7 linked regions of the Cricetulus griseus genome follow. The protein of the gene in region 1 purifies or fractionates together with the protein of each later gene. This does not show direct contact. Links are inferred from orthologs where the notes say so. Each region holds a gene or a part of one and is shown in the gene's direction. Other genes may lie near its edges.

Evidence for each region.
Region 2: the proteins of Map3k7 (region 1) and heat shock protein HSP 90-beta purify together in Homo sapiens (affinity purification with mass spectrometry; 3 studies listed by BioGRID and IntAct, with this or other methods). This does not show direct contact. The link is inferred for Cricetulus griseus from reciprocal best matches to the Homo sapiens genes MAP3K7 and HSP90AB1.
Region 3: the proteins of Map3k7 (region 1) and Peli3 purify together in Homo sapiens (affinity purification with western blotting; 3 studies listed by BioGRID and IntAct, with this or other methods). This does not show direct contact. The link is inferred for Cricetulus griseus from reciprocal best matches to the Homo sapiens genes MAP3K7 and PELI3.
Region 4: the proteins of Map3k7 (region 1) and Tgfbr1 purify together in Homo sapiens (affinity purification with western blotting; 3 studies listed by BioGRID). This does not show direct contact. The link is inferred for Cricetulus griseus from reciprocal best matches to the Homo sapiens genes MAP3K7 and TGFBR1.
Region 5: the proteins of Map3k7 (region 1) and Ikbkg purify together in Homo sapiens (affinity purification with western blotting; 8 studies listed by BioGRID and IntAct, with this or other methods). This does not show direct contact. The link is inferred for Cricetulus griseus from reciprocal best matches to the Homo sapiens genes MAP3K7 and IKBKG.
Region 6: the proteins of Map3k7 (region 1) and Fkbp5 purify together in Homo sapiens (affinity purification with mass spectrometry; 4 studies listed by BioGRID and IntAct, with this or other methods). This does not show direct contact. The link is inferred for Cricetulus griseus from reciprocal best matches to the Homo sapiens genes MAP3K7 and FKBP5.
Region 7: the proteins of Map3k7 (region 1) and Xiap purify together in Homo sapiens (affinity purification with western blotting; 3 studies listed by BioGRID). This does not show direct contact. The link is inferred for Cricetulus griseus from reciprocal best matches to the Homo sapiens genes MAP3K7 and XIAP.

The regions. Positions count from the first base shown.
Region 1 is NC_048595.1:110,090,241-110,093,740, reverse strand, and holds part of Map3k7 (mitogen-activated protein kinase kinase kinase 7), read left to right. Parts: intron 1-505; coding exon 506-634; intron 635-2,528; coding exon 2,529-2,659; intron 2,660-3,500. UniProt on the Homo sapiens protein: Serine/threonine kinase which acts as an essential component of the MAP kinase signal transduction pathway. Plays an important role in the cascades of cellular responses evoked by changes in the environment.
Region 2 is NW_023276807.1:31,888,691-31,892,931, reverse strand, and holds the start of heat shock protein HSP 90-beta, read left to right. Parts: upstream 1-1,441; 5' UTR 1,442-1,580; intron 1,581-2,815; coding exon 2,816-2,962; intron 2,963-3,078; coding exon 3,079-3,285; intron 3,286-3,510; coding exon 3,511-3,670; intron 3,671-4,075; coding exon 4,076-4,209; intron 4,210-4,241. UniProt on the Homo sapiens protein: Molecular chaperone that promotes the maturation, structural maintenance and proper regulation of specific target proteins involved for instance in cell cycle control and signal transduction. Undergoes a functional cycle linked to its ATPase activity.
Region 3 is NC_048596.1:54,341,456-54,345,736, forward strand, and holds the start of Peli3 (E3 ubiquitin-protein ligase pellino homolog 3), read left to right. Parts: upstream 1-1,481; coding exon 1,482-1,633; intron 1,634-4,281. UniProt on the Homo sapiens protein: E3 ubiquitin ligase catalyzing the covalent attachment of ubiquitin moieties onto substrate proteins. Involved in the TLR and IL-1 signaling pathways via interaction with the complex containing IRAK kinases and TRAF6.
Region 4 is NC_048595.1:96,028,356-96,031,855, reverse strand, and holds part of Tgfbr1 (TGF-beta receptor type-1), read left to right. Parts: intron 1-1,206; coding exon 1,207-1,449; intron 1,450-3,500. UniProt on the Homo sapiens protein: Transmembrane serine/threonine kinase forming with the TGF-beta type II serine/threonine kinase receptor, TGFBR2, the non-promiscuous receptor for the TGF-beta cytokines TGFB1, TGFB2 and TGFB3.
Region 5 is NC_048604.1:1,290,595-1,294,873, reverse strand, and holds the start of Ikbkg (NF-kappa-B essential modulator), read left to right. Parts: upstream 1-1,479; 5' UTR 1,480-1,577; coding exon 1,578-1,580; intron 1,581-2,097; exon of another isoform or gene 2,098-2,251; intron 2,252-4,279. Other genes in the region: G6pd (glucose-6-phosphate 1-dehydrogenase), read right to left, coding at 591-710. UniProt on the Homo sapiens protein: Regulatory subunit of the IKK core complex which phosphorylates inhibitors of NF-kappa-B thus leading to the dissociation of the inhibitor/NF-kappa-B complex and ultimately the degradation of the inhibitor.
Region 6 is NW_023276806.1:233,602,980-233,607,010, reverse strand, and holds the start of Fkbp5 (peptidyl-prolyl cis-trans isomerase FKBP5), read left to right. Parts: upstream 1-1,231; 5' UTR 1,232-1,347; exon of another isoform or gene 1,348-1,515; intron 1,516-1,746; exon of another isoform or gene 1,747-1,891; intron 1,892-4,031. UniProt on the Homo sapiens protein: Immunophilin protein with PPIase and co-chaperone activities. Component of unligated steroid receptors heterocomplexes through interaction with heat-shock protein 90 (HSP90).
Region 7 is NC_048604.1:25,906,938-25,910,437, reverse strand, and holds part of Xiap (baculoviral IAP repeat-containing protein 4), read left to right. Parts: intron 1-1,085; coding exon 1,086-1,164; intron 1,165-2,091; coding exon 2,092-2,134; intron 2,135-3,500.

The DNA.
Region 1 (3,500 bases):
CAAGAGGACCCAGGTTCAATCCCCAGCACCCACAGAAGGTTCACAAAGGTCTGTGACTTCAGAAGTTGGGTTCCCGATGACTTCTTCTGACCTCTCTGGGCATTGCAACACATGGTACACAGACATACATAGAGGCAAAAGATCATTCATGCACATAAAATAAAAACAAATAAACCTTTTTCAAAAAGAAATTGAAAACTTACAGAAATATAAAGGTGTTTTAAATTATGCCTGTAAAAGAGATCAGTCTGCACACAGAAGAAAAAAGGCCAATGTATTTTGTTGAAAAGGTAGAAAATTACTGGCTTTCTCATGTAGATTTTGAGTATATTATTTATATTTATTTCATTAAACTCTATTTTGAAAACATTTAAGAAAGTAATTGTTTAATTCTTCCTGTGACAGTCTCTTATCCAAAATATCCATTCCTTTAAAAATTTTGAAACTAGTTATTTCTGTGATTCCTGTGGAACAGGTCTCAAGATGACAATGCCTTTTTTTGTAGGTAGTAATTACAGTGAAAAGTGTGATGTCTTCAGCTGGGGTATTATCCTTTGGGAAGTGATAACACGCCGGAAACCCTTTGATGAGATCGGTGGCCCAGCTTTCCGAATCATGTGGGCTGTTCATAATGGTTTGTCAAAAGAAATTTTTCTTTAATATATTGTGTATATTTCATATTTGGAAAACTGCCCCCATCCTCTTCCCCAGAGACTATGTATATCTGACACTGAAATGTAGACTTATTTGTTACCAGACCACCTTACTTTAGCACTCTATATACCTTTGTCTCTGGTTCTGGTGGGGAGAATTTAGACTCCTCTGCATAGGCCTGAGGCTGCCAACTGCACTGATTAGAGAAAGACCATCAGTACTTAGCCAGCACCTTTATCTCTCTCAGGGCTAGAGAAGCACTGCGGCAAAGTAGATAAATGAAATCTCTCATATCGTTAAGATAGCTGGGATGCTAGGCCCCTTTCTCCTGGGAAAACAACTCTCAAGCAAAACTGCTGGTAAGAGTTGTTTCTTAAGCTCAAAAGGACACAATATTCAGTGCTGCACACATGTTTTAGTTGTATATTCTCAACCATGCGTACAGTGCTAACATCACAAGTAATAAGTGTTGGAGCTGGAATCCACATGCAGGTCCTTTGGATTCAAGTGCTCCTACTTTTCATCAGGGTGACTTAATGTTATGTCTCTCTGACTTCCATAAATGTGTTCAGATAGCTTCCTCACTAGTAGGTCCTTCACAGTTTCTTTGATAAAGAAACTCTATAAGGAACTACAGCATCACTGTTACTTCACGTGCTTCTAATCGTTCCAGTGAATAAGTGCTTGTATACTAGTCTACAGGTGATCAAAGAAAAAACACCTAACTCTTTAGAGCTTTTGTAGGCTGGCCAAACAAAACCATCAGAGTAATCTTGGCTGTTTTACCAGTTTCCTCTGCCAGCTTTGTTACATCCTATAGTGTCGTAGAAAATACAGGAGCTTTCCAAGACAGTTTGCTTCCTCTGGCTATCAGTTCTCAGCAAGTGATTGTCAGTGAGGTAACAGAGTAAAAGAACTAGCGTATTGATTGATTAACCTATAAAGATCTTACTGTATCTGGAGCCACTCTTGAGTGTGGGAAGCTTACCAGTGCCACTGCAGGGTTAATAAATTATAAAAAGTTGGCACTTTCTGTCCTGTAAAATAGTTAACTGCAACCAGTGAGTGTAACAGTACAGCAGAGGAAAGTTGGTAAGTATAACATTGTAGGTGAAGGAAGTCAGTGAGTGCAACAACATGGTTGAAAATGTCAGTGAGTGTGACACCCTGAGGGAAGTCAGTGAGTCTAATACTGGTTGGCTGAAGTAAGTTAAGTGTGATACCAGAGTTAAGGAAAAACAGTGAGTGTGACACCATAGTTTAGGAAAACAGTGAGTGTGACACCAGAGTTGAGGGAAAACTGAGTGTGATACCACAGCTGAAGAAAACAGTGAGTGTGACACCATAGTTGAGGGAAGTTGTGAGAGTGATACCATGGTTGAGGGAAGTCAATGAGCATTACACTGTGTTTGATCACTTTCTGTAAATGGAAGATTTTTTTTCAAATGCATTTAATATTTTATAATCTGAAAATTCATCTTTCCTCAAGTCAGCTACTTATTTTTCCTAATGCATGCATTTGGCCTTTGCTCTTTGAAAGAATGCATATGACAGTTTGGTTTGGGTTTTGAGACAGAGTCCCACTCACTATGCAGCCCTGTGTGTTCTGCTGGCCTCTGCCTCACAAGCACTGGTTAAAGGCATACATCTAGCCCAAGCAAGCAGTCTTAGTCTCACTGTTCTTATCACCTGTGTTACAAATTTAATGTAGTTTTTGGTATAGTTTGCCCTTTGTGAAAATATATATAGATACAATACATGGTAAACTAAAAGAGAAAAAATGCTAGTTCAGATATTGTTGGAAATAAACTATAAAAATCTTGCAGTGTTCTTTGGGTAGATAATTCTTTTATTCCTCTAATTTTCAATTATAGGTACTCGACCACCACTGATCAAAAACTTACCTAAGCCCATCGAGAGTCTGATGACCCGCTGTTGGTCTAAAGATCCTTCTCAGCGCCCTTCAATGGAAGAAATTGTGAAAATAATGACTCACTTGATGCGGGTATAACCCTTCTTTTGAGGGGCCTTGGGTTTGGGGGACTTTACTATATACTGAGTTTTATTGGACTTTTAAAATGAAAGAATGGGAACTATTTCCTGCATTATACTTTCCTGTGTTTTTAAAGTCAGAATAGGCATTTATTTATTTATTACTTGTATTATCAGAAGAGAAAACATTACCTTAGAAAAATGTTTGTCTCTGTAATGACAAGATGGCTAGACAGGTTTCTAGGATTGCTGTCTTTACTAACATTTATAGATAAATATTTGGTTCCAGAGTGTGTGAGAGATGCTGATATAGGGTATGTGAGGCTTGTCAGTGCCTACATAGATATGATTAATAACATGCTTAACTAAGTTTGTCAGATTTTCATCAAAATACAGTCATTTCTACAGTATGCTGGGGATGTATTTTAAGAGATGTATTTGAGTAATTTTAATGATTCCCATTTTGGCTTTTGATTGAATGTTTTCAGATGGCAATAAAATCTAAGCTTTTTCTAGGCTTGATGGAATCTTTTAATTTAGAAGAACCCTTTTAAAAAGCTAATCAAATTCCCTACTCTACAAATCTTACACTTTAGGGTTACTTCAAATATTTTAAGGTAATTTTTTCCTTTATTGAAAATAGGTTTTATTTTGTAACAAGAGCCATAAATGGTAGCTTTAACTTTGTACACATAAACTTTAAGTTATGTAAGTCAAATTAATAACTATTCACCTATGTTTTGTCTAATTTGAAAAAAATCTCACCCTAAATTTTATTTGTATTGTTCAGTAAATAATTTCAGTATTATGTCCCCAGTTCATAGAGCCGGGGGCTTCCATAAGGTGTGTTCTTA
Region 2 (4,241 bases), on another chromosome or scaffold:
GGTGAACTGAAGCGGACAGAGGCAAAGGAAAATGGGAAGGCAACCACTGCTAAACAATGAAAGCACATTGGGGAAGATGGGCTGCATGCACGCACTAGGAAGGAAGGTGTGGGCGGTGGCGTCGGAGACCTTGGCCAGAGCCGGCAAAGAAAGGAGAGGAACATTTACAGAGCACGGAGTGGCCATTCTCTCCTGGTGGGCTCATCAGCCCAACTCGCTTCCAGAGGCGGCCTTGGAAAATGGCAAGGCTAGACGGACAGGCGAGGCCTGGACAGACAGCCCAGTGGGAAGGCAGGGCGGAGGTACTAGCGCAATTTGGTTCTGGCACCTGGAACTGGGCCAACCCGTGACTAGCATCTTCACGCAGCTGCCTAGAGCTCCCGCTAATCTGATAAGATGGAGATCTCCCTCTCCCTAGGTCCAAAGAGCTGCAGGAGGCAAGAGTGCTAGAAAAAGGGAAACCAGCTTGAGAAGCAGCTTGCAGTGCTCGCAAAGGGAGGGCGCACGGCCCCGTGCGCCTTGTCCGTGGGCCACCTCGGAGGCTGGGGGGTGGGGAGTGTCCCACCCATCAGTGTGGGGTCCCCGGTCTGTTCACAGAAAGGTGTCCGCAGTCACTCACCCCCGCAGATCACGTGCCCTGCGACCGATCCAGGTCAGCCATCCCTCTCTCTGGGCGCCATCCCGCGTTCCACCCCCGCCCCCCCCCGCAGCAATGTGGGGCTCCCAGGGCCGGGGTCGTCTAACCATAGCGCACAGTAGGAGCATTGGGGGGGGGGACACAGTTCGGCATTAAGAGCCGGGCAGTAGGTAGCGCCTAGCCGAGCGGCTGCCCCCGCCGCAGCGGGGGGAGGTGGAGCCTCGGGGGGAGGGGTTGAGACCGCCGAGACAGCCCTAGAAACTGCTGGAAGAAATCGCAGTACCGCCGGCGTTGCTCCTTCCGCCGCGCGCCGCCAAAGAGTCCCTGGCAGCCCAGGCCCGCGCCCCTCCCGCCCGAGCAGCTGCTCGCCGCCTGCAGCTGCGGCCCCGTTCCGGAGGGTGGGCATCGGGACCCCCTCCAGCTGGACAGCGAATGTCCCACTGTCCTGCTCTCTCCATGTAGGGAACACTCTGGGAGGTGGGCTCAGAGAACGGCAGCCGAGTTAGCCATCTCGGTGCTCTTGCGAGTCGGGGGTGGAGGCGCCTGCCTCGAGGTTTCTGGGGGAGTCGGCGGGATATCCGCGCGTGGACACATCCCTAGCAGCATAAGCGCACCCCGTGGCCCTCATCTTGCCATGGCCTTGTCCTGGTCGTGCAGGAGAGGCCTCGGCTCGCCGCACAGGCCCCGGGTCGCCCCCCCTCCCGCCCCCAGTTGCTACCATGACGTCAAGGTGGGCGGGCGGCGGCAGGTGCGGGCGGCGGCCCCGCCCCCTGAGGCGGAGGGATCCAAGGGCGGGGCCGAGCTGTGCTTCGCCTTATATAGGGCGGTCGGGGGCGTCTGGGAGCTCTCTTGAGTCACCCCCGCGCACACTAACCTCCGCGTGCGAGTCGGTCGCGCTCCGAGCCCACCCGGCCCTGTACTACTACTCGGCTTTCCTGTCAAGGTAAGGCCGCGGCCTCCGGCCCTGCGGCTTCCCGGGGCTCGTTCCCCGGGCTCTCCCCCCCCATTCGCATCCGTCCTAGAAGGTCCCCGCCCAGCCGGGCGGCCTGTGGGCTGGTGTACCCCGAGCTGCTTGCGTCTGGCCCCGCGGGGTGGCTCGGCGAGGCTCCTTGGGGCCCCGGGTTGGGGCCCCGGCGCGTGAGGTGGGGGCGCGGCCCAGCTGTGTGCAAGGCAGCCGCACGTGGTAGGCGCCGACCTGGGACGCTGCCATGTTTGCCCTCCACTTCCGGGCGCAGCTGCAGGGTCCGAAGGGGCCGCGCGGTGGCGGGCTCCGCGGCGTGACTCAGCACGGCCCTGTGAGGCTGGCCTGGCCGCCTCCTTTGGACGCCTTTCCCAACGTGGTTGGGGTTCTTGGGCGTGGGGGTCGTCCACGGGGTGGCAGGGACGCTTGAGCGCACTGCCATTTGCCTTTCCAGATCTTTCCTGCGCTCCGGGGAAGGAGGAGGAGGAACCCGGAGGGGGCTGGCACGGGAAGATCCATTGGTCCCTCCCCTACCCCTCCCCTACTCCTCCCCGCCCTGGAGCTCAGATTGTTCTGGAAGCTCCTGGTGCCCCGCCCCAGTGCCCGGATGCTGGGGCAGTGGGAGGGTTGCGGTGGCGCCCCCTCCCCGATGGCTGCCGCCGACGCGTGTCCGGCAGTGACGAGGGTCGCTGGAAGGCTCGGGCCACCATTTTACTTGTGTTCAGGGCTATGCAAGTCTGCGCAGTGAGAGAGGTCATGGTGGAGCTTTTACCTCTTTGTCCTGGTTTAATTGCTCCTTGAGTGCCTCCATGACTGCAGCCTCGGGTTCCCTGCTCCTGCTAGGATGGAGCGGCACATAGAAATGGCTGCTGTTTCTGTTAGTTTCTTTTTTGCCCAAATAAAGTTGTAAAGGGTTTCCTGTATATGTTCACCGGGTAGCTAACGAATTATCATTTCTTGAATTTTAACAAGGTATGTTGTCGGGTTGAGCCTGTTTGAGCTGTAGTATACCGTTTTGGCTGCGTTTGTTTGAAGAACCATCCATCCTTTGAGTTTTTTCCGTTTTCGGTTTACCAGCTTACTGTAGCTTTTCAAGGTCTTTTTAAAAATGGCGGTTCTCATCCCTTGGGAATGGATACTACTCAGCTTAAAGCATTTTGAATTGGAGTTTAAAGTGCATCCATCGTTTTAGTAATTAATGTGTAATGCTTTCTTAGATGCCTGAGGAGGTGCACCATGGCGAGGAAGAGGTGGAGACCTTTGCCTTCCAGGCAGAAATCGCCCAGCTCATGTCCTTGATCATAAATACTTTCTACTCAAACAAGGAGATTTTCCTTCGAGAATTGATCTCCAATGCTTCTGATGTGAGTATCACAGCTTCATAGAAGCCCAGTGAGGGATTGAGAGGAGTCTGCCGTGGGTTGAGAGCCAAGACAATGTTTGCAGAAATGGAATAATGTGGCTGTGTGTTTATTTACAGGCCTTGGACAAGATTCGCTATGAGAGCCTGACAGACCCTTCCAAATTGGACAGCGGCAAAGAGCTGAAGATTGACATCATCCCCAACCCTCAGGAGCGCACGCTGACTTTGGTGGACACGGGCATTGGCATGACCAAAGCTGATCTCATAAATAACTTGGGAACCATTGCTAAGTCTGGCACAAAGGCTTTCATGGAGGCTCTCCAGGTGTGTGGCCCTATATCCACAACATTCTCAATACTGCTTTTGACTTGTTAATTTTTCAGTACTTGTTTTCACTAGTGATATGGTAGGCTTTTAACCTATGGAGATCAGAGGATTACTGGCCAGTAGGTCCCAGGGATTGAACTACTTGATAGTTACACTTGAGTTCAGCAAGCACTTGTGCAGAACCATTTTACTTACCTCTTAACTTTTAAAATCCTTTGGCAGGCTGGTGCAGACATATCCATGATTGGGCAGTTTGGTGTTGGATTCTACTCTGCCTATCTCGTGGCAGAGAAAGTGGTTGTGATCACAAAGCACAATGATGACGAGCAGTATGCTTGGGAGTCCTCTGCTGGTGGATCCTTCACAGTGCGTGCAGACCATGGTAAGCTGCCTGTCCTCGTTTGGATGCTTGGTAGAATTCTCTGGAGGATAGAAAGTCCAAAGTCTTGATCATGCACTGTTTAATCTCAGCACTTTGGAGGCAGAGGCAGATGGATCTCTTGTTTTAGGACAGCCTGGGCTACATAGAAGCCCTGTGTCAAAATGGGGAGCAGGGGGTTGAGTATTTTGGTTGTAGTTTTTTTGTTTGTTTTTTTTTTCTTCATTGTGGTTTTTTGAGACAGGGTTTTTCCTGTGGCTTTGGAGGCTGTCCTGGAACTAGCTCTTGTAGACCAGGCTGGTCTTGAACTCAGAGATCCTCCTGCCAGGATTAAAGGCGTGCACCACCCCACCGCCCAGCTTAGTTGTAGTTTTCTATGTCTTGATTCTATCATTCACTTTTTTATAGGTGAGCCCATTGGCCGGGGTACCAAAGTCATCCTTCATCTCAAAGAAGACCAGACAGAGTACTTAGAGGAGAGGAGGGTCAAGGAAGTGGTGAAGAAACACTCGCAGTTCATAGGCTATCCCATCACCCTCTATGTGAGTATGGACTTGGCAGTATTTGAGCAGTC
Region 3 (4,281 bases), on another chromosome or scaffold:
CCTCCACTAGCCAGGAGGGGATAGGGAGTCCCTCGTAGGGAATGGCGGGAGGGACTTCGTTGGTTCCAGGGGCGGGGCCCAGAAAAAGGCTCGGGCTCCCGAAAAGCTCTTGGCATTGCCGATTGCTGCTAGGCTAAACCGCAGGAGGCGGAGCCTCAGGGTAAGGCGGGGCTCTATAGGGGGCGGGCCCTGAGGGGGAGGCGGGGGCAGGGGGTGGAGCGTGGAGGTTTGTGTGCGCAACCTTCCCTCCTCCGGTCCCCGAGTGTCCCCGCGACGAGGCTGCACCGAGCAGCCGCGGGCCGAGCTCGTCCCGCCGCTGCAGTCCCGGGGCGCAGCAAGGGAGAGGCGGGTGGGGGCGAGCAGCTCCCAGAGAGCCCCGGAGCGCAGCCAGGTGAGGCCTGAGAGGTGGAGGTGCGGTGGAAGGGGGTCTGCGCCGTGAGTGTGCGGGGGGGCGTGTTTGCGTTTCTGGTGGTGGCGAGGTTAGGGGAGCGGGTCTGAGGGCTAGCGCCTGTGGCTGTTGGCGCGTGGGCGCGTCCCTGCAGTAGCATGTCTGGTGTGCTGCGCCCGCCTGGGCACAGCCCGCGGTGCTAGGGGTGTGCGGGACTGTGTCTGCGCGCGCGCGCCTGTTTGCGAGGGGCCGCCGGCTTGTGTATCTGCGTATGCGCTGGGCCGTCGTCGTGCCCGTCCCGAGCGCAGCGCGGGGTGCGAGCCTCCCTCGGCGCAGACCCTCCGGCGTTGGGGTTGTTAAATAGGCAGCCTGCGGGACACCCGCTGTGCTGCAGGGGAAGCCCGACTGGGGAGCGCAGCCCCCACAGGCCTCCTGGGACCAGAGCGGCCTGAGGACCGCAGACAGACACCTGAGGGAGGGAGGGGACGCGCACCCGGGAGGGAATTGGAGGCCTGCTTTCAATGCCAGGCCAAGATGGGGAGACTGAGTAAGGTGGATGACAAGAGGAAGAAAGATTGATAGGAGAAGGGGGGAATAGAGTTTGGGAAGAGAAAAGGCAGAAAAGGACAGTGCTGGGAGGACAGAGAGTCATTGAGAGCAGACAGACCGACAGAGGCCTAGACCTGCAAAAAGGCAGAAAGATTAGCATGAACATATAGATCCAAGAACCTGATAAGAAGGGGTAACTGAGGTGTTGGGTTAAAAGCCTAAGCCAGGAACTAAGTCTGAGAAGTAAAGCTCCTTAAGACCTGGCTGCCCCTCTGCCAAGCATATTCTCTCCAAAGTTGTTATATTCCACTGGCCCCATCAAATATCCTGACCCTCTGACTTTGCCATTTCTTTGTTTGCCTTGTCTCATCAGTCTGCCTCCCTGGCAATCCAGCAATCTCACCGTTTATGGGGAACAGAAGTAGTTATAATAATAAGTGTTGAAGGACCACGCTTGCCTTGGCTTAAGGCAGCTTGCCTGAGCTAGACAGGAGCTGGTGTGGGATGCTTCAGAGTTCTTTTCTCCTCTCCCACTCTGCTCAGAATGGTGCTGGAAGGAAACCCTGACGTGGGATCCCCTCGGACCTCGGACCTCCAGCACCCAGGGAGCAAGGGCTCTTGCATCCTCTCTTCTCCTGGTGAAGAAGCACTGCCAGGCGAGGAACCCATCAAGTATGGTGAACTCATCGTCCTGGGGTGAGGCTCCCTAGTCCAGGAGTGATGTGCTTTGGGTAACCCCCTCCTCAGGTCAGCCAAAACCATGGCACCATCTGCCCTCTCCAGGGCTCCTTCCTCTTTGTTTCTTGTTACCTTCCCGGATGAAAGACAAAATTGACCAAACCCGTATCTGTTCATAATTATTTGATCTTTCTGTTTCTCATAAAATTCCTGAGACAATTCTTAACTGCTCAACAGAGTTTCTAACCAGATGAGAAAAAGAGCCTGAAAAACACCTACTGTGTGTAGGTGTAGGGGAAAGAACTCTGATTCTGCACAAAACTCCTTGGTCCCAATCCTGCTTTTGCAAATTGCTGAACTTTCCTGTGCCTCTGTTTCCCCATTTTGAAGACAGGGTTGATACTAAGTCACAGCCCCAAAGGTTATCTGAAAGAAGGGATTTTTGTAAAGTACATAGTCTGGTACCCAGCACTTACCAAGTGTCAGGCAGGCAGGTGGTGCCAAGCCTTTTCATGGGCAGTATTTCATTTCAATCTTCACAAAGATGCTGTGAGGGGAAGTGACTGGCCCAAGGGCACACAGCTGGTAGGTGGCCGGGCCGGAATTTGAACCCATCTTCCTAACTGTAGATATAGCAAACTATCACTAAGCTGCAGCTTGCTCTTGTGCTACAGATGAGAAAGTGTAGTCTCTGAGAGAGGAATTTATGGACCTTGATGGCTGAACAGACCTGATCCCTTTTGGTCTTTGCCTGCCTGGATACCTGCACTTCCCATGAAACTCTTCCTCCAGACACAGATTCCTCCTCCTTTCCCTGTGCCTCCTTTTGGCCCCATCTCTACCCTGAAGACACTGCTTGGTAGGCTATGGGATCATGATGGAAGTTAACAATGCAAAACAGGAGCCGGGTGGTAGCGAACGCCTTTAATTCCAGCACTCCAGAGGCAGCGGCAGGTGGATTTCTGTGAGTTCAAGACCCAGGCTGGTCTACAAGAGCTAGTTCCAGTCCCCTTGCCTTTTTTCAAATAACAATAATCGCTAACTCATATCAAGAGCTGGCCAGCCTCTGTCAAGCATTTTACAGCGCTTTATCTTTTTAGTTCTCCAAATCAACCTTCTGAGTAGGTTCTGACAAATGAGCTCTGTTTTATAGAGGTGATGACTGGAAGAGCCAGGATGTATGCCAGGTTCCTGTGTATTGTCAGCCTGCATCCTGACTGTTTCCCTCTAGACCTGCCTCTGCCCACACAGAAGAAGTACTCAAAGTAAAAGAGATGTTCCTCACAGGGGTGCTTACCTCTGAAAAGCAATTGCTTTGTGTCTGATGGAAGGAAGGCCTGTGTTTCTGTCTGGGTGCAAGGCCACAGATAGAAGAAACTGCAGATTAAGAGGAGGGAGGGGTTTTGTTGACAGCCCTCTGTCTTAAGCAGATCAGAGAAGCCTCACTCAAGCTGTGTATCAGAGCTACTGGAGAACACGTGTATGACACACACTGAGTCAGGTGGAGTGGCACACACCTCTAATCCCAGCACTCCAGAGGTAGAGGTAGGGAAGCCAGCCTGGGTTACATGAGACCTTGTCTCCAGATCAACAAAAAGAAGAAAGAGGGAAGGAAGGAGGGAGGGAGGGGGAGAAGGAGAAGAGAGAAAAGAAAATAGGAGATAGCAGGAGGAATCCTACACCTAAAGAGGCAGAATCTCCGGATAGGTCTAGAGAATACCAACTTTAATGGACTCATTAAATTCTAATTGGTCCTTGTATTTGACTTTATTTATTTATTTATCTTTGTTTTTGTTTTTCCAGGCAGGGTTTCTCTGTATTTTTGAAGACTTTCCTGGAACTTTCTTTGAAGACCCGGCTGGCTTCGAACTAACAGAGATCCTCCTGCCTCTGCCTCCCGAGTGCTGGGATTAAAGGCGTGTGCCACCAATGCCCGACATGTATTTGGCTTTTTTTTTTTTTCTTTTTGAGAGAGGGTCTCATGCTGGCCTCTATCTCCCTAAGTAGCTGAGGATGACCTTGAGCTCCTGGTCTTCATTCTTCCCAAGTTCTGAGATTATAGACTGCATTTATGTGGTGCTAGGAATTGAAACCAGAGCACTGTGCAAGCTAGGCAAGCATTCCACCCATTGAGCTATCCCCAGCCCTATCTATATTTGGCAACCTTTTTTTTTTTTTTTGGTTTTTTGAGACAGGGTTTCTCTGTGTAGCTTTGGAGGCTGTCCTGGCACTTACCCTGAAGACCAGGCTGGCCTCGAACTCACAGAGATCCACCTGCCTCTGCCTCCCAAGTGCTGGGATTAAAGGCGTGCGCCACCAACACCCGGCTAATTTGACAACCTCTTATTTCCTTCTCCAAAGTTTGCTGTGACTCCCCATTACTTACAGAAAAGCATTCTTAGCTTGGCATTCATATCTCTCTATACTATACTTTACCACCGAGTCACCAAATCCTATTCTTACTAAACCCTGCCAGTCTTAGGGCCTTGGGTCAGAGACCTCTAAATTGAAGGACTTTGGCAAGTCTAGGTGGAGTATGACTGCAATCTGGCTTTTTTTTTTTTTTTAAAGCTTCTTAGCTTGAGGCAAATCATTTCCCTCCTGGGCCTTGACTTGTCTAATTTATAAAATAGGAAGAAAGACATTTCCCTGGCAGGACATTTCAC
Region 4 (3,500 bases), about 14 Mb from region 1:
TAAAATATTACATATTGGTTGTCACCAAAATTCTTAAAGTAAACAAAGACTTTTCATATACAAAGATAATAGCTGTCTTCATATAACTAATTAAATATGCAGTGTATAAGGATTTAAATACTCTTCCTGAAAGAAATTGCTAGAAATAGAATTCTGTATGATAAGAAATTAATCTAAATGAAGATGTCAGAAATGAAATAATATGGTGGGGAGCATCTAACAAAATAAAGCTTGGTAAATGCCAAAATAATTATAATTAGTGCATTTTTAAATACTACATTTGAGATTATAATATCACACTGTCCCTTCCCTTTCCTTCTTCCAAGCCCTCTCATATTCTCCTTGATCTCTCTTTTAAATTCATAGCCTCCTTTTTTAAAATTGTTGACACATATATATGTATATGTTAATGTGTTTTTGAAATGAGCAAATATTAATTTATTAAGAGAGTATAAGAAAATAATTTGTAATTAAAAATGCAGTTGGCAAAAATAGTTTAGAAAGAATGTATTGCACAAACTATTTTAAAAACTTTAAGGGTTTCTAATCCCAGTGCTGGAAGGCAGAGGTTGGAGAATCCCAAGTTTGAGGCCAGCCTATGTCTCACAAAAAAGGGGGCAGGGAATTTATAAATAAATAAATAAATAAATAAATAAATAAATAAATAAATAGATTAAAATGTAAACAGGGAAGTGTTTGACTTTTAAAAGTTGGTGGAACTGTATATACTAAAATATGAGCCTTTGCAGGATCACAAGGAAATAATTTGTAAAAGCTTATTAACTGTATTTATATATTTTTTCTCTGCTATAAACCTGCTGTGCACTTGGAATAAGAAGATAAAGCCAAAGTGCTTGTTTCAAACTATTGGTTCCCTGACTAGTTTGTCTGAGGTGATAAATAGGAGGGAGGTCTAGGGTGTGGGTTAGCTCATCAGCTCATTGATGAATTACGAGATGGATTGGGGATGCATAGGAAGAGTCAGAAGGTACTGACAGAGCTTAAGGTCCAAAAAGGGAGGCCAAGGAGAGAAGACAGAATAGAAAGAAGACAGAATGGGGAGCTTGTTCTGGCTTGAGTCCTGTGTGATGAGGCTCTGTGACTAAGTGACAGTAGTGAATATGTGGGGAAATATGGAGGGCTTAGAAAATGTGGGTGCCACCTACAGTTTTTTTTTTGTTCTTGTTGATGTTTATTTCATTTGAGGACCTTTTGCAGAAAAGCAGTCCTCTGGCCTTGGTCCTGTGGAGCTGGCAGCTGTCATTGCTGGTCCGGTCTGCTTCGTCTGTATTGCACTTATGCTGATGGTCTATATCTGCCATAACCGCACTGTCATTCATCATCGAGTGCCAAATGAAGAGGATCCATCACTAGATCGCCCTTTCATTTCAGAGGGTACCACCTTAAAAGATTTAATTTATGATATGACAACGTCAGGATCGGGATCAGGTAATGTCATTGCTTACCTTAAGAAATCTTAATAAATCACTTTTGCTAATTTATTTAATTAACTAGTTGACACATTTGGCTTAATTTGTTAAAAATTTGGGATAGTGTGAATGCTGTTCCAGATTGCAGCCTAATGAAGATTGTTGAGCTTGGTGTCTATCTGACCACATAGTTTTAGTGTAGATGAATTGGAGCTTGCTTTATAAGTCACTTCCACAGTTGTATAGATTTCAAAGAATCCTCTCCTATAGGATGATACTTGGCTTTTTTGTGAGCTTGGAAGGTAGAAAGTAGGACACCAGCCGGGTGGTGGTGGCACACGCCTTTAATCCCAGCACTCGGGAGGCAGAGGCTGGCGGATCTCTGTGACTTCGAGACCAGCCTGGTCTACAAGCACTAGTGCCAGGACAGCTTCCAAAGCCACAGAGAAACCCTGTTCTGTCTCGAAAAACCAAAAAAAAAAAAAAAAAAAAAAAAAGACTTTACAAAAAAGAAAGTAGGACACCTTTTTTTTGTTTTTTTTTGGGGGGGGGACAGTTGAGACAGAGTTTCTCTGTATAGCTTTGACTGGTCATGGAATTCTTTCTGTAGACCAGGCTGGCCTTGAACTCACAGATTTGCCTGCCCCTATATCTCAAGTGCTGGGATTAAAGGCAATGTGCCATCACCACCCAGCTAAGACACCATTCTTAGGAAGATAGAGCTGCCATTAAGAGATACAGTTACCATTCTGCAATTCTGGGACTGTTCACCTGGAATTTGGAAGGTTATTTATTTGCCTTCTTAATGGTATGAAATTGTTACTTTAATAAAAAAAAAAAAAAGTGTGTGTGTGGTGGGGGGGCGGTGCATGCCTGCCTGCCATCCACAGAAGTCATGGATCCTGGGGGACAAACTCAGGTTATTGGGCTTGGTGGAAAGTACTTTCATCCAGTGAGTCAGTGGGTCATTCCAGTTTATTGTCTATTATTAAAATTAAACTACTGCATTTTTAGTAACTTTTTTTTTTTTTTTTTTTTTTTGGTTTTTGGAGACAGGATTTCTCTGTAAGTTTGGAGACTGTCCTGAAACTCTCTTTGTAGACCAGGCTGGCCTCAAACTCACAGAGATCTGCCTGCCTCTGTCTCCAGTGTGGCGTACTGTCCTTTGAAAACTATTGATCAGTTTCAAATAAGTGCTAAATTTATGGCCATAATGAATATTTGGAAACAAAAATATGGCTGATTTTGAAATAAATGATAGTAAAAGAATATTAAAGCGGGAATTATGACTAAGGAATGGTGTAGCTCTGAAGCACAGAAACCACATTAATGCTTGCAACAGTGTAATAATAGATGTCTTTATTTTAAGGAAATTAATAAATATTGGTATGTATGCATACCTGCTCACTCTTACGTACTTGAAGAAGCAGATACTACCTGAAGCCTTTGGTAAAAATGTGGCAGTGAATACTCAGTAGTGTGTTCTTTTTCTGATTGCTAGAACACATAAAAGCTTGCAAACAAAGCCAGGCCTCCCAGGGCAGCCATAGGGACTCCTTAGTTAGTCCCATATGAGAGTGAGGCAATGAGAGATTGGACTGGGCTAGAGCAGCTGGAGTACTGGAGATATGACAAACTTTGGGAAGGAGAAGTAGATGAAAAGTATGTTAGGACTGCCCTGGTTTCTCTGTTGATTCTGAGTTAAAGCAAATGGTTCTCAAAGAAAAATCTCACAAGGGATCCTCCTGGTCCATGATAAGTAGGGGACAAATTTGCAGAAAACTAAGGTGATTACAAACCATTTGAAATTAGTCCCTTGGATCTGTTCTCTTATTGCTGAACTTGTACCCAGGGAAATTTGAACAGCTCACATTCTCAAGTCCACCGAAAGGGTTCAACACATTGTCATGTAGATGACAGTTGATTTCTAGCAGAGGTCTGTTTATTTGTCTCTGAAATGTAGCTGTATGAATTGGAGGGTGGAGTTACTCTTTCTCTTTCTACTTCCCATGGACATCTAGGACCATTAGGAGTTGTTCTATTGTCTGAGAGCTTCCCCCTCCTTTCAGA
Region 5 (4,279 bases), on another chromosome or scaffold:
TTCTTCAGTTTTTCCTAACAGAGCATATTGGTAGTTGTTTTAGTTAGACAACTGGGAACCAGGTGGAATCAACAGAAATCTGCAGTAGGCTCTGGAAGATGTGGTAAAGAGTAGGTGTTTGCCTCCAGGGAACTTCATGCAATAGAGAGAAAAGAGGCAGAGGCAGGACCTCAGATCCTTTCACTGAAAGCAACTGTAACATTTGTCAAATTACAGATTTGGAAAACATATAGACTGAATAGCACTTCCTGGTTGCACCTCAGTTTTTTTTTTTCCATCCAGGAGGAAGAAGTTCAAGTAGATGGTGCTTTAGAACTTGCATGCTCCAAGTCTGGCCCACATTTAATGGCTGAACATAGATTTCTGAAAAGCCTTGCAAATGAGAAATTTGACAGAAGTACATGATGTACAGCAGGTACTGACTGCTGTGATGATCAGGACACACAGGTGGGAACATATGCCGTGAGTTCAAATTAGAACCTGTGTGGCCCCTTAGCAGTCAGTTGGGAAAGTTCAGGTAAAGAGAGAGAAGTGCCTTGCAAAATGCTACATTTGATTTTTTTACACTCAGGGCCTGAGGGGAGACTCACCGATGCACCCATGATGATAAATATATGTGTATCAGCTTGGTGGAAGGCATCACCCTGGTACAACTCTTCCCTCAGGATGCCACACACCTGGGTCCGGCTCAGGGCCACCTGCTCTGCCATGGTGTTTTCTGGTGGAAGAAAGACTCATTGATAAGGCAGGAGAACAGAAGAGCATTGACAACTTAACCTTATCAGAATCAGAAACTGCTGCTTCTGGGCTCCAGCCATATCCTATGTTGTCTTCTCTGGGGGCTGTACATTACGAAATCTCTATAAGCATTAATGGAATTCAGCTAGGGAATCCACTCTGGGAAAGCGACGCGGTCAGAGCATCGCACTGTGTCTGGGGCCATCGCACTCCAGTCTCTGCCAGAAACGCCACAATGAACTGAGCATCTTTTCATTGTGCAGATGATGGAGTTCAGCCCCAGCTCTCTGCTGGCCAAGCTAAATGATCCCAGAAAGACCCTTCTCTTCTAAAAGTCTAGTCCTCATGGGCCTAATGCGGGGAAGTGCGGGGTACAATGGGATGGGTTAAGACCTCGTAGATCTTTTTCCATATCCAAGCATAACAAATAGCGCTCATCAAAGGGACACGCGGCTCATAAGCGGGAAGCACATCCCTCCACCGGTGTGCTATCAGACCACCCCCTTTACCTGTGTTTAGTTGCTGCTGCCAAACAGGTTTACAGTTCTGGAGTGCACAGCTCGTTTCCGGGGGCTGCGCTTAGCTGGCTCGTTTAACGCAGGAGGGCGGGTGCTTTGACTGAGCTGACCCGCCTCAGGAGAGGCAGGAGAGGAGGAGCTTCGGACTACTCCATCGGTGAGGGAGGGGAGAGTAGCAGAAGTAGGTGCGCACGCATCCCTTGTCAGCCCCACCCTGTTGGCCGTCCCTGCTTTCCTGCTCCGCGATCGTGATGCTTTGCTGGCACAGATACAGCTCCGCACAGTTCTCCTGCGTCCCCATCGCTACCCCAGCCATACTTTATGGTCTGTTTTCCGATGGACCCTCGAGTCCCTGCGCACTCCTGGATGACCCCACTTCCGTTAGCAGCATAGCCACGCCTCCCCTTGCAATCGGTTTGGCGTCCTTTAGCAGCTTCTTCTAGGCTTTTTCCATGGTAGGGACCTGGTGGCAGAGAGCCCAGTGACAGAACCAGACTAAAACTGGGGTGTTTCATTGCGAATGCGACGCCTTGAAAATGGGGTGGGGACAACTGTGGGCGAGGTGACACACGCCTTTAATTCCAAGCACCCGGGAAGCAGAGGCAGGTAGATCTGGATAGCTAGGAGAGAGACCCTGTATCAAAAAAAAAAAAGTGTGTAAGTGTGTGTGTGTGTGAGTGTGTGTGTGATCTTTATCAGTGAAGAGCGTTGCGCTCTTCGGTTAGCCAATGCAGGCTGGCGGTCTGAGGCTTCTCTTCAGAGTGGGATGCAGCACTATTGTGGCTTCGCAGCTCCAGTTAATCTCCTCGACTTCGAGTCTGTGTTTTACTTCCGGATCCCACACTTACGACACCGGAAGCCGGAAGCAGGGGTTTCCACAGCCGAGAAGGGAAGGGTGACCGCCCAACCAGGACTTTCTGAGAGCTCCGATTCAATCTGAGAGGTCGGGTTCCGCTGCTCAGGCCCTCTTCACTTCTGGCCGACTCTGCTGACAGGTGTAGTCCTCTTCTCCAAAGATAGGGCTCCATCGGTGGCCATTATGCAGCTTCCGAGGCTCCTGAGCCCCCTTCCCCCCACCTTGGGCCCAGTTTGTTCTGTTGCATGCTTTCGAATGCTTTTTAGAGCATTTATTCAAGAAGTGCAGATTCGCGACCCAGCTTACTTGGACTGATTTCTGTCCTTCCCTCTGCTTATCTGTCGCCTAAGGGCTTGGCCCCAAGTGCTAGAACTCTTAGTTCACAGACATTTTTCTGTTGATGAAACTTTGTTTTCTGAAACAGCATCTCGAAATGTAGGCCAGGCAGACCACGAGCACAAGATTCTCCTGCCTCAGCTTTTTCAAGTGTACCGACTTTGCCTTTGTTTTTGAAGGGTTCACGATAAAAGGGAGAAACAGTCAAAGTTATCTTTGATGTAACTGGTCCCAGTGGGGTCAATTGATTGTAAAAGGCAAGGGAAGAAAGCATGGTGATCTGTAAAGAGATTATTGCAGTAATCCATGTGAAGGATGATAGTGCTGTCAGCCTTTTATTACTGAAAACTTTAAAAATGTACAAAAGTAGAAATATTAACATAGTAAGTTCCATGTACACATTTCTTAGTTGTCTCTATCAACTCATAGCTAACTTTAATTCACAGCCCTTACAGTACTCTACCATGATTTTTTTTCCTCTTTAGAAAAGATGTTATTTTATGTGTGTGGGTGTTTTGGCTGTGAGTATGTATGTGTACTACATGCTTGCCTGTTGCTAAAGGAATTCAGGAGAAGGTGTGAGGTCCCCTTGGATTGGAGTTGCAGATGTTTGTGAGCCACCATGTGGGTGCTGGGAACTGTCTCTGCAACAACAGCAAGTGCTCTTAACCACTGAGTAATCATCTTTTTTGCTCCACCCATTATAATTTTCAAAAACAGCTTTCTTGAGACATAATTTGCATGCTGCACCATTCACATTTAAAAACTAAAAATATTTACTATTTGTGTGTGTGTATGCATGATGTGTGTGGAGTGTCATGGCCAGAATGTGTTCTCAGGTTTCCAGGCTTGCATACCAATAGTTATCCACTGAGATGTGTCACTTGCCCATAATTCAAAATTTTTGGAGAGAGTCTCATGAAGATCCCTTCTTTTTGAGTTTCTCATCCTCCTGCTTTTACTTCCTAAGTACTAGGATTTACAGAAGTACACCACCACATCTGGCTACAATTCACGTATTTAAGGTGTATAATTCAGTGGTTTTTAGTGGGTTCATAGGAGTGTGAAAACATCACTAATTGCGGAACATTGTCATCATCCCTAAAAGAAATCCTAAATAAGAAACTCCAATCCACCTCATTTCTCTAAGTAACCACTAAACTACTTTCTGTCAGGATTTACATGTTTTGGATATTTCTTATGCTTGTAAGTATATACAGTATATAGCTTTTAGTGACATTTCTTTCTCTTAGCAATTATTTGGAGCATGTGTTCTTGTTTTTGTAACAGATTTTGCTTATTCATCAGTTGGTGGACATTTGGATTGTTTCCACTCTGGCTGCTTTGAATAATGCTGCTGTGATCATTTATATATGGACATGTGTTTTCATTTCTATTGGGTTTATCCATAGGTATCTCTTTTGTTATGCAGTGAATTTCAGACATGTGAGTGTTTCATTATGTATCTCTTTCAGAAAGTACTCTCAATAAACATAACTACAACACCATGATCACACTTAAAATACCTAATGTTATAGTGTGTCTTCATGAATTAAAAAGATGGGCAGGGGGGAAGATAAAGGAACAGAAAAACTAATCGAACAAGCAAGCAAAAACTCAGAAATGCTCAAATTTTTTGTCCTGATAGTTGGGGGATGGATTTGTTTTCAACTGATAGTAAGGGAAGTTGTGGATAGAAGTGGATTTGGGAGACTCACTTTTTTGGGTACTGCTGGGGATCCAGAGTCTGGTGAATGTTTGGCAAGTACTCCATTGCTGAGATATACTTCTAGTTCTGGGAAATTAATTTTGACAAGACCTCTTTTTATTT
Region 6 (4,031 bases), on another chromosome or scaffold:
GTAGAACTGACTGTTCCCCCACATACTCTGGCCCAGAAGAAAAAAAAAAAAAAAAAAAAGCCGGCAGCTGCTGTATCTACAGCGCCTGTTGTTGTTTGCTGTGGTGTGTTACAACATGGCCTGGCAGCCTCCCGGGCTTTTCTTCCTCCTGGAAGAGTCTCCTCTCGGAACATGTGACAAGTCCACACAACCCTGCAGATTGGCCCACACTGCCCCTAGCTGTTCACTCAGTTCCTAAGCCGTTCCAGGTCTGCATGCTTTGTGAGCTCACAGCTTCCCACCTTCTGGGAGAGCCCTTCTTCACTCTTCTTTGTAGACACGTGCCACAGAACTAACTGGGGGTTACTCAAGTGTGGATGTCCCTGCCTGTGAGCCCGGAGCTGTCACGGGCTGGTACGGTGCCTTCTCACCTCCGTGCGCCCTCCTCCACACAGGGTGCAGTTCTTGCCCACTAGATGCAAAACCAGCTGGCATCAGTGAGCAGGACGGTTGCTATCCACATGGCGCTGTTGACCGAATTCATGTGAGCAGCTTGTGGCTCCCCTGGGAGGCTGGTTAAGGGGAAGTTTCCCGTCACTGAGACAGGACCCCTGCTCAAGAGGAGGTTCCTGTGTCAGTTTTGTCTTTTCTGCAGAGGTCTATGAAGAGAGGAAAGGAATGACCATACCATCCCCCGGCATGGTGACATATAGAAGGCCTTCAAATATTCTAAAGTATGACAATGCAAAAGAAACAAAAATAAATAACTAAAATAAAAGCAGAGAGAGACAGAGGAGAGGAGGAGGAAGAGGGAGAGGGAGGGAGGGAGGGAGGGAGGGAGGGAGGGAGAGAGAGACAGAAGAGAGGAGGAAGGGGAGGGAGGGAAGGAGAGCGAGAGCCTAGCACTCACCGGCCCTCTCTCAGAGGACCTGGGTGGCACCCGCAGCACGCCCTTGGCAGCTCACAGCTCCAGTCCTGGGAGATCCGACGCCCTCTTCCGGCCTCTGCGGGCCACCGCACCCACGCAGTGCGCAGACACACAGCAGGCGGGCACTCAAACGCGCTCTTAAAAAAAAAAAAAATTAGAAAACGAAGGTTCGCGCTCAAGTCCCCAGGTGCAGCTCCCGAATGTCGGAGGCAGTCACCCCGGGTTGGCCACGTGGCTGGGGGAGGGGTGTGGTCTTGAAGCTGAGCGGGCTCAGCAGCCCATCCTTGGGGCTCCTCTGTGTCGCCGTCCCCTGGGCTACTGCGCAGGGGAGGCAGAGCCCCGGGGGAGAGCGCGGCCACACCCACCGGGCGTCCCGAGAGAGCAGCGAGGTGCTGTTTTGGCTTTTCCCGGGGTCTAAGGAGCATCTTCGAGCTCACGAGGTTGCTGTCCGGGGTCCAGGCTGGTGAAGGGCGGGCTGGGTGGGCAGCAGGCGGGGCAGAGACTTGGCGGCGCTTAGTCTGGAGGCCAAGGACGCCGCCGAGAGGTGTCGGCCGGCTTCCTCCATCCCCGCTCTCCGGCCCCCACAAAGGCCAGGGGCCAGACACGTGGGCCGCGGCAGCGGAGGGGCGGGGATGCAAACCGACGGGGCGGGGCCTCATTTGCATAGACCGCGCGCGGCCACCAATGGGGACCGGCGGGGCCACAGCCCGCGCGCCTTTTGGGGGCGGATTGACAGCCCCGCGGCCCTATGGGAGGCGGGTCCTGCGGCCGGTGTGGGCGGGACGAAGCCGGGCGCTGCCCGGCGCACTAGCCGGCTCGCGGGCGCTGCCAGTCTCCGGCGGCGGCGTCCGGCGCGCGGCTGAGCTCGCGGAGCGTGCGGACCGGCGGCCTGCTGGCCGGGCAGAGAGGGCGGCTGAGCGGCGCGCGCGGGGGCGGAGAGACGCGGAGCCCGAGACGCGGCGGCGGCGGCGGCGACGGCGACAGGTACGGGCGCCATGGCCGCGGGGATGGGGCGCGAGCTTGCGCGCGCTCGGTGGACCCGGGAGTCAGCCGTGCGCCGGCGATCGCGCCTCCGCCGCCCCTCGCGCGGCTTCCCCGGGGCGGCGTGGACGGGACGTGCGGGAGACCCCGGGCCCCGCGGGGGCCCGCGCCGCGGCGCGGTGCAGCGATCCGCAGGGCGCCTGGGCGTGCCGCGCGGGCGCGCCGCCCTCACCTGCCCGGCCGGCCCGCCGCTCCGGGCCGGCAGGTGACCGGGGGGCGCGGAGGTAGAGCGAGAGGGGAAAACAAACAAACAAAAGCCAATTAAAAGTTGCTTTCGGCGCCTCCGAGGTGGTAGAGCGGGCACAGGCGCTTGTCGCCAAGTGTGACGACCTGAGTTAGATCCCCGGAACCGAGGTGGTCTGAGGCGAACCGGCTCCCGAGAGTTGTCCTCTGACCTCCACGTGTATAAGACATACACACACACACACACACACACACACACACACACACACACGCTCACACACACATGCTCATGCTCACACACACACACACACACGCATGCTCATGCTCACACGCTCACACACACATACACATGCTCTCTCTCACACACACACATGCTCATGCTCACACACGCGCACACACACACACGCATGCTCATGCTCACACACGCTCACACACACACACACATACACACACGCTCTCACACACATGCTCATGCTCACACACGCTCACACACACACACACACACACACACACGCATGCTCATGCTCACACACGCTCACACACACGCACACATGCTCACACTCCCTCCCAATAATAAAGAAATGAAAGTTGTGTTGGAGTCTCCTTCCCTTCTGCCCTGGGACATCACAACCACCGTCCCGGCCAAAGCCCCCTACTCGGAACCCGGCGTGAGTTTAACGTGTGTGTGAGAGAAAGTGCGTGTCCGCCAGAAGCGAAGGGAGCGCACTGCGCTGTGGTCATCTTCACCGTCCTCGCTGTGGGTGAGCCGGGGGGAGCGCTCGCGCCCTGCTCTTTACACAGGGGTTTCGGCGGCGGCAGCGGCGGTGGCGAAAGCTGTGGGAGGCACAGGTCGTGCAGGGCTCGGGACACTGTGTACCGCGCCTGGCTGCCTGCCGTTCAGTCAACTCTGCAAGCTGCAGTTGGGAACTGGTGGTTTGGGGATTTTTTTTTTTTTCCCAGCGGACTGAGACTGAGCGTTGAATGGGCACTTTCTTTGCCTTCCCTAGGAGTAGGAGAGAGTGCTGATTTTCATTGTCTTTCCATTTTCTTAGGGTAGAGGACAAGGGAAAAGTTAACATGTATTTAAGAATTTTGTCCCTCCCCTTCTTGCTGTTAGTGTTTGCTATGTGGTTATTATTATTATTATTATTATTATAGAATTGTAGTAGTTCCTACTCTTGGTGCCCGAATCAATTCAAGGTATGACTTGAAAAATATTCTGCTGGGACATTCTTACTCTGTCGTATTTTCACTTAACCATTTTCTGTTTGCCTCTCTCCCAGCTGTCCGGTATGTGCTGAACAGTCTTCTGACAGCTTTTACTTTGGGGTTTCTACAGAAATGGTGTATTTTAACCATCTTTAAATGCAAAGGTTAATAACATTCATGATTCGTTAGAAACACGCGCTTTGGTTTTCTTCCTTTCTCACTTCTAACGTGTCTTGTGTGGGAACTGCACTGGGTGTAGTCTGTATTTCAGAGCACAGTTAATTTTTATTTAATTGCACTAATTAATTGAGTGGTCATTTTATTCATCTAGATAGTTTGAGTTAGCTATTGGTTGGGACCACTTGAGATTATTTTAAGTTAATGTAGGAATATCCTTTTTAAATTGTTTTAAAACAGTGAGTTCATGCATGAATGAGGTTTTTGTCATTCCAACCTTTTTTAAAAGTATGTTTCTCAATATTTACTTTTCAGTTACTTGACATTTGAGAGGATTTATTTTTATTCTTCTTAAATTTTATCATTTATTTATTTATTTATTTATTTATTATTGAGACCATGCTGGCACAGGTGTGGCTGTCAGAGGACAACTTTGGAGTTGGTTTTCTCCTTCCACGATGTGAATCCTGAACTTCAAATTCAAGTGGTCCAGCTTAGTGGCAAATGACTTTCC
Region 7 (3,500 bases), on another chromosome or scaffold:
AATGCCTTTAATCCCAGCACTCAGGAGGCAGAAGAAGGTGGATCTCTGAGTTTGAGGCCAGCCTGGTCTATGGATCGTCAGGGCTACACAGAGAAACCCTATCTCAATTCCCTCCCCCCCCAAAAAAAAGATCAGTGTGAAAATACTAATTTAATAGCTTTTTTTTTTTTTGCCTGTTAGCAGTTTTGGATTTTCTTGTGTTTATTATAGTCTTGTTATATGTAGCCTAAACTGGCCATAACTTCCTATGTAGACCAGGCTGGACCTAAAACTTGTGGCAATATTCCAGCTTCTGCGTCTTGAGTATTATAGAGGTGTGGTATCATGCCTGCCTTTTTGTTTGTTTCTTCTTTGAGACAGGGACTCTTGGAGCTGGCTCTAGCAAGAATTCACTATGTAGCCAATGGTGGTTCTAAACTTCTGATATTCTTGGCTTAACCCCCTAAGTGCATATATTTCAGATATTTACCCCCATACCTGTCTAATGACTTTTTTGGCTAGTTTTCCTTTCTTTTGGGGGACAGGTTCTGTCTATGTAGTCCAGGCTAGCCTGGTTTTCATGTAGCCTTCCTATTCAGCCTCCCAAGTGCTGGGATTACAGGCATATACCACCAAAATTGGCTAATTTAGTAACTCTTGCTTGAAAATTGATATTGATAGGGTGGAAAATAGGAGCATTATTTTAGCCTTGAAATGAAAGCTTTATAAGGAATTTTGTAGCAGTTTGCTTTGTGGCTCCCCAGAAACAGTGACGCTAAGGCCTTTAATCTCAGCTACTTAGGAGTCTGATAAGATAGGAAGTTTCAAGGCCTGTCTAGGTTAGAAAGCTCAATCGACGCCAGCCTGGGCAATTTGTCAAGACCCTATCTCAAAGAAAAGGCTGTATTTTTAACAGACTAGGGTAATTTGTGCCTATTGCTGCCTGTAATCCCAGCAATTGAGATATGGAGGAGGAGGATTAGATGTCTGAGGTCATCCTTGGCTAAATAGCAAGTTTGAGACTAGCTTGAATCACAGGAGGACTGGCTTTACTAATACTTCACTAATTTATCAGCTAATAGAGTTTAATGTCTTTAATCTTTTAGGTGTAAATATCTATTGGATGAGAAGGGGCAAGAATATATAAATAATATTCATTTAACCCATTCACTTGGAGAATCTTTGGTAAGTTGCCTGTTATTTTGTTTTTCTAATGATTTCTTCCAGTGAAATGCATGGTATACTACTATAATTAATGTATAGTAAACTTTAAAGGGGAGAACTTCAAGAAACCTTCTAATTCTTAACCCTGAAGCAAATTTTTGAAAAGATCAAAGCAAAATAATGTATCACTGTGAACAGAATGGGTGTGAAGAACTTAAAATACTGAAATCATTTAGCTCTCAGAAATCAGGCTTTTGTGTAATGTACTTTCCACTCACAAATAGTTTCTACCTTTAAAAAAAGACAGGGCTGGCTTTGTAAACCCACGAGATGTGCCTGCCTTTGCCTCCTGAGTGCTGAGATTAAAGGAGTCTGCCACCATGCCTGGCAGTTTTCACCTTATATAAAAAAACATTGATTGATTGATTTAGTGTGAATGTATGCGTGCCTGTGTGCATGCCTGAGCAAGTGTTCTCAACTGCTGAGCCATAGTATTTGAAATTGCAAAATTAAGGCTGGAGATATGTATCAGTTATACCTTATCTGGCTATCATAAACAAGGCCCTGGGACAAAAAAATACGAAAATGTGTCTGAATAGATACATGGGACAAGGGTAGTCAAAGCATTAGTAAAATGTGGGAAGAACCCTGAACTGGAATCAGAGTTTAGAGTTGACCTAATGGTTCTACTGTTAATTTTTTTAGTTTAGTTTGTGTTTGTTTCCCCTACAGAAAGTCATTTTATCTCATTGACCCTCACCTTCTTGTCTGTAAAGAAGTGATATTGGATTAGTCTTAACTTCCTTGTGTTCCACCAGGCTTCACCCTTGTGAATAGTCATGTTTTAAATTAGAATAAAGCCAGTTTGTTTTGAGTGTATTAAGTTTTCAAATTGAGGTAATTGCTTTCTACTAAAGTGAATTCTTACCATTCATATTTCTATTTTAGGTAAGAACTGCTGAAAAAACACCTTCACTAACTAAAAGAATTGGTAAATATTCTTATTAAAATAAATCTGTTTAATTTTTTGGCCAAATTATTATAGTATGTTTAATGAGGTTGCTATAAATTTATGAGGTGTTTATAATTTTATGTCATATATTTCTGTAGTGAGGATGTCAATAAAAGGCCAGGTGTTGCTGGGTGGTGGTGGTGACGCCTTTAATCCCAGCACTTGGAAGTCAGAGGCAGGCAGATCTCTTGAGTTCTCTGGCAGCCTGGTCTACAGACCAAGTTCAAGGACAGCCAGGGCTGTAACACAGAGAAAACCAAAAAAAGAAAAGGAGAGCAAGAAGAGGATTTCAGATCCCCTGGAACTGGAGTTATAAGTGGTTGTGAGCCACCAAGTAACTGCCAGGAACTCTGAGCCATCTCAGGCCAGACTGGCTGGACCTCTCTATCTTTTTGCCTCCGTCTTTTAAGTGCTGAGATTGTAGTTTGTGCCCCCACATGAGGCTAAAAGCAGATCCTGTGATGATGTTTATTATTGTTTGTTGGTGCTGGTGATTGAGCCCGGAGCCTTTCTCATGATAAGTACTCTGAGTTACAGCTCTAGCAGTTATTCCTACTTTTCAACTGAAGAAACAGGGAGGTTATATGATCTACCCATGGCCACATTATAAATTTTGTTGTTGTTGTTGTTATTTTGTTTTTTTTTCAAGACAGAGTTCCTCTATATGTAACCCTGGCTATCCTGAAAGTCCCTCTGTAGACCAGGCTGGCCTCGAACTCAGAGAGATCTGCCTGCCTTTGCCTCCTGAGTGCTGGGATTAAAGCATGTGACATTATAAATTATTAATAGAACTAGAAATGTAAACAAGGTCTTCTAAATCCCATAGCACATTATAGATTTAATTTTTGGTGGGGGGAGTATTATGGAACAGGGTTTATCTGTGTATCTCTGGCTGTCCTGAAACTCACTATGAAGTCCAGGCTGGCCTTGAACTCATAGACACCTTCCTGCCTCTGCCTCCAGAGTGGTGAAATGAAAGGTGTTTACTACCATACCTAGCTCTGCTGTCCCTTGTGTTTTGTATTTTTAGATCTCATTTGTCAGTCCAGGCAATATATTTCAAAAATACAAGGTTTCATTTAGAATACCCGGTGAGTCCTTATTCTCTGATGTCGTAACATCATCTGTTTTGTGTGTCGAGGATTACAAGGCAGAAGAATACTACATGTATTCATAAATATGCTTGAAATTAAGAGCTACATTACTTGGTATGAATTTGGCAGTAATAACAAAGTTAAAGAAATCATTTTTGTCTAGCATGCATTTTTAAAGTCATTCTGGGGAAATCAAAAACACATCTAGAACTAGGGTTGTGTTTCAGTGATGGTATGTTTATCTAGTATAT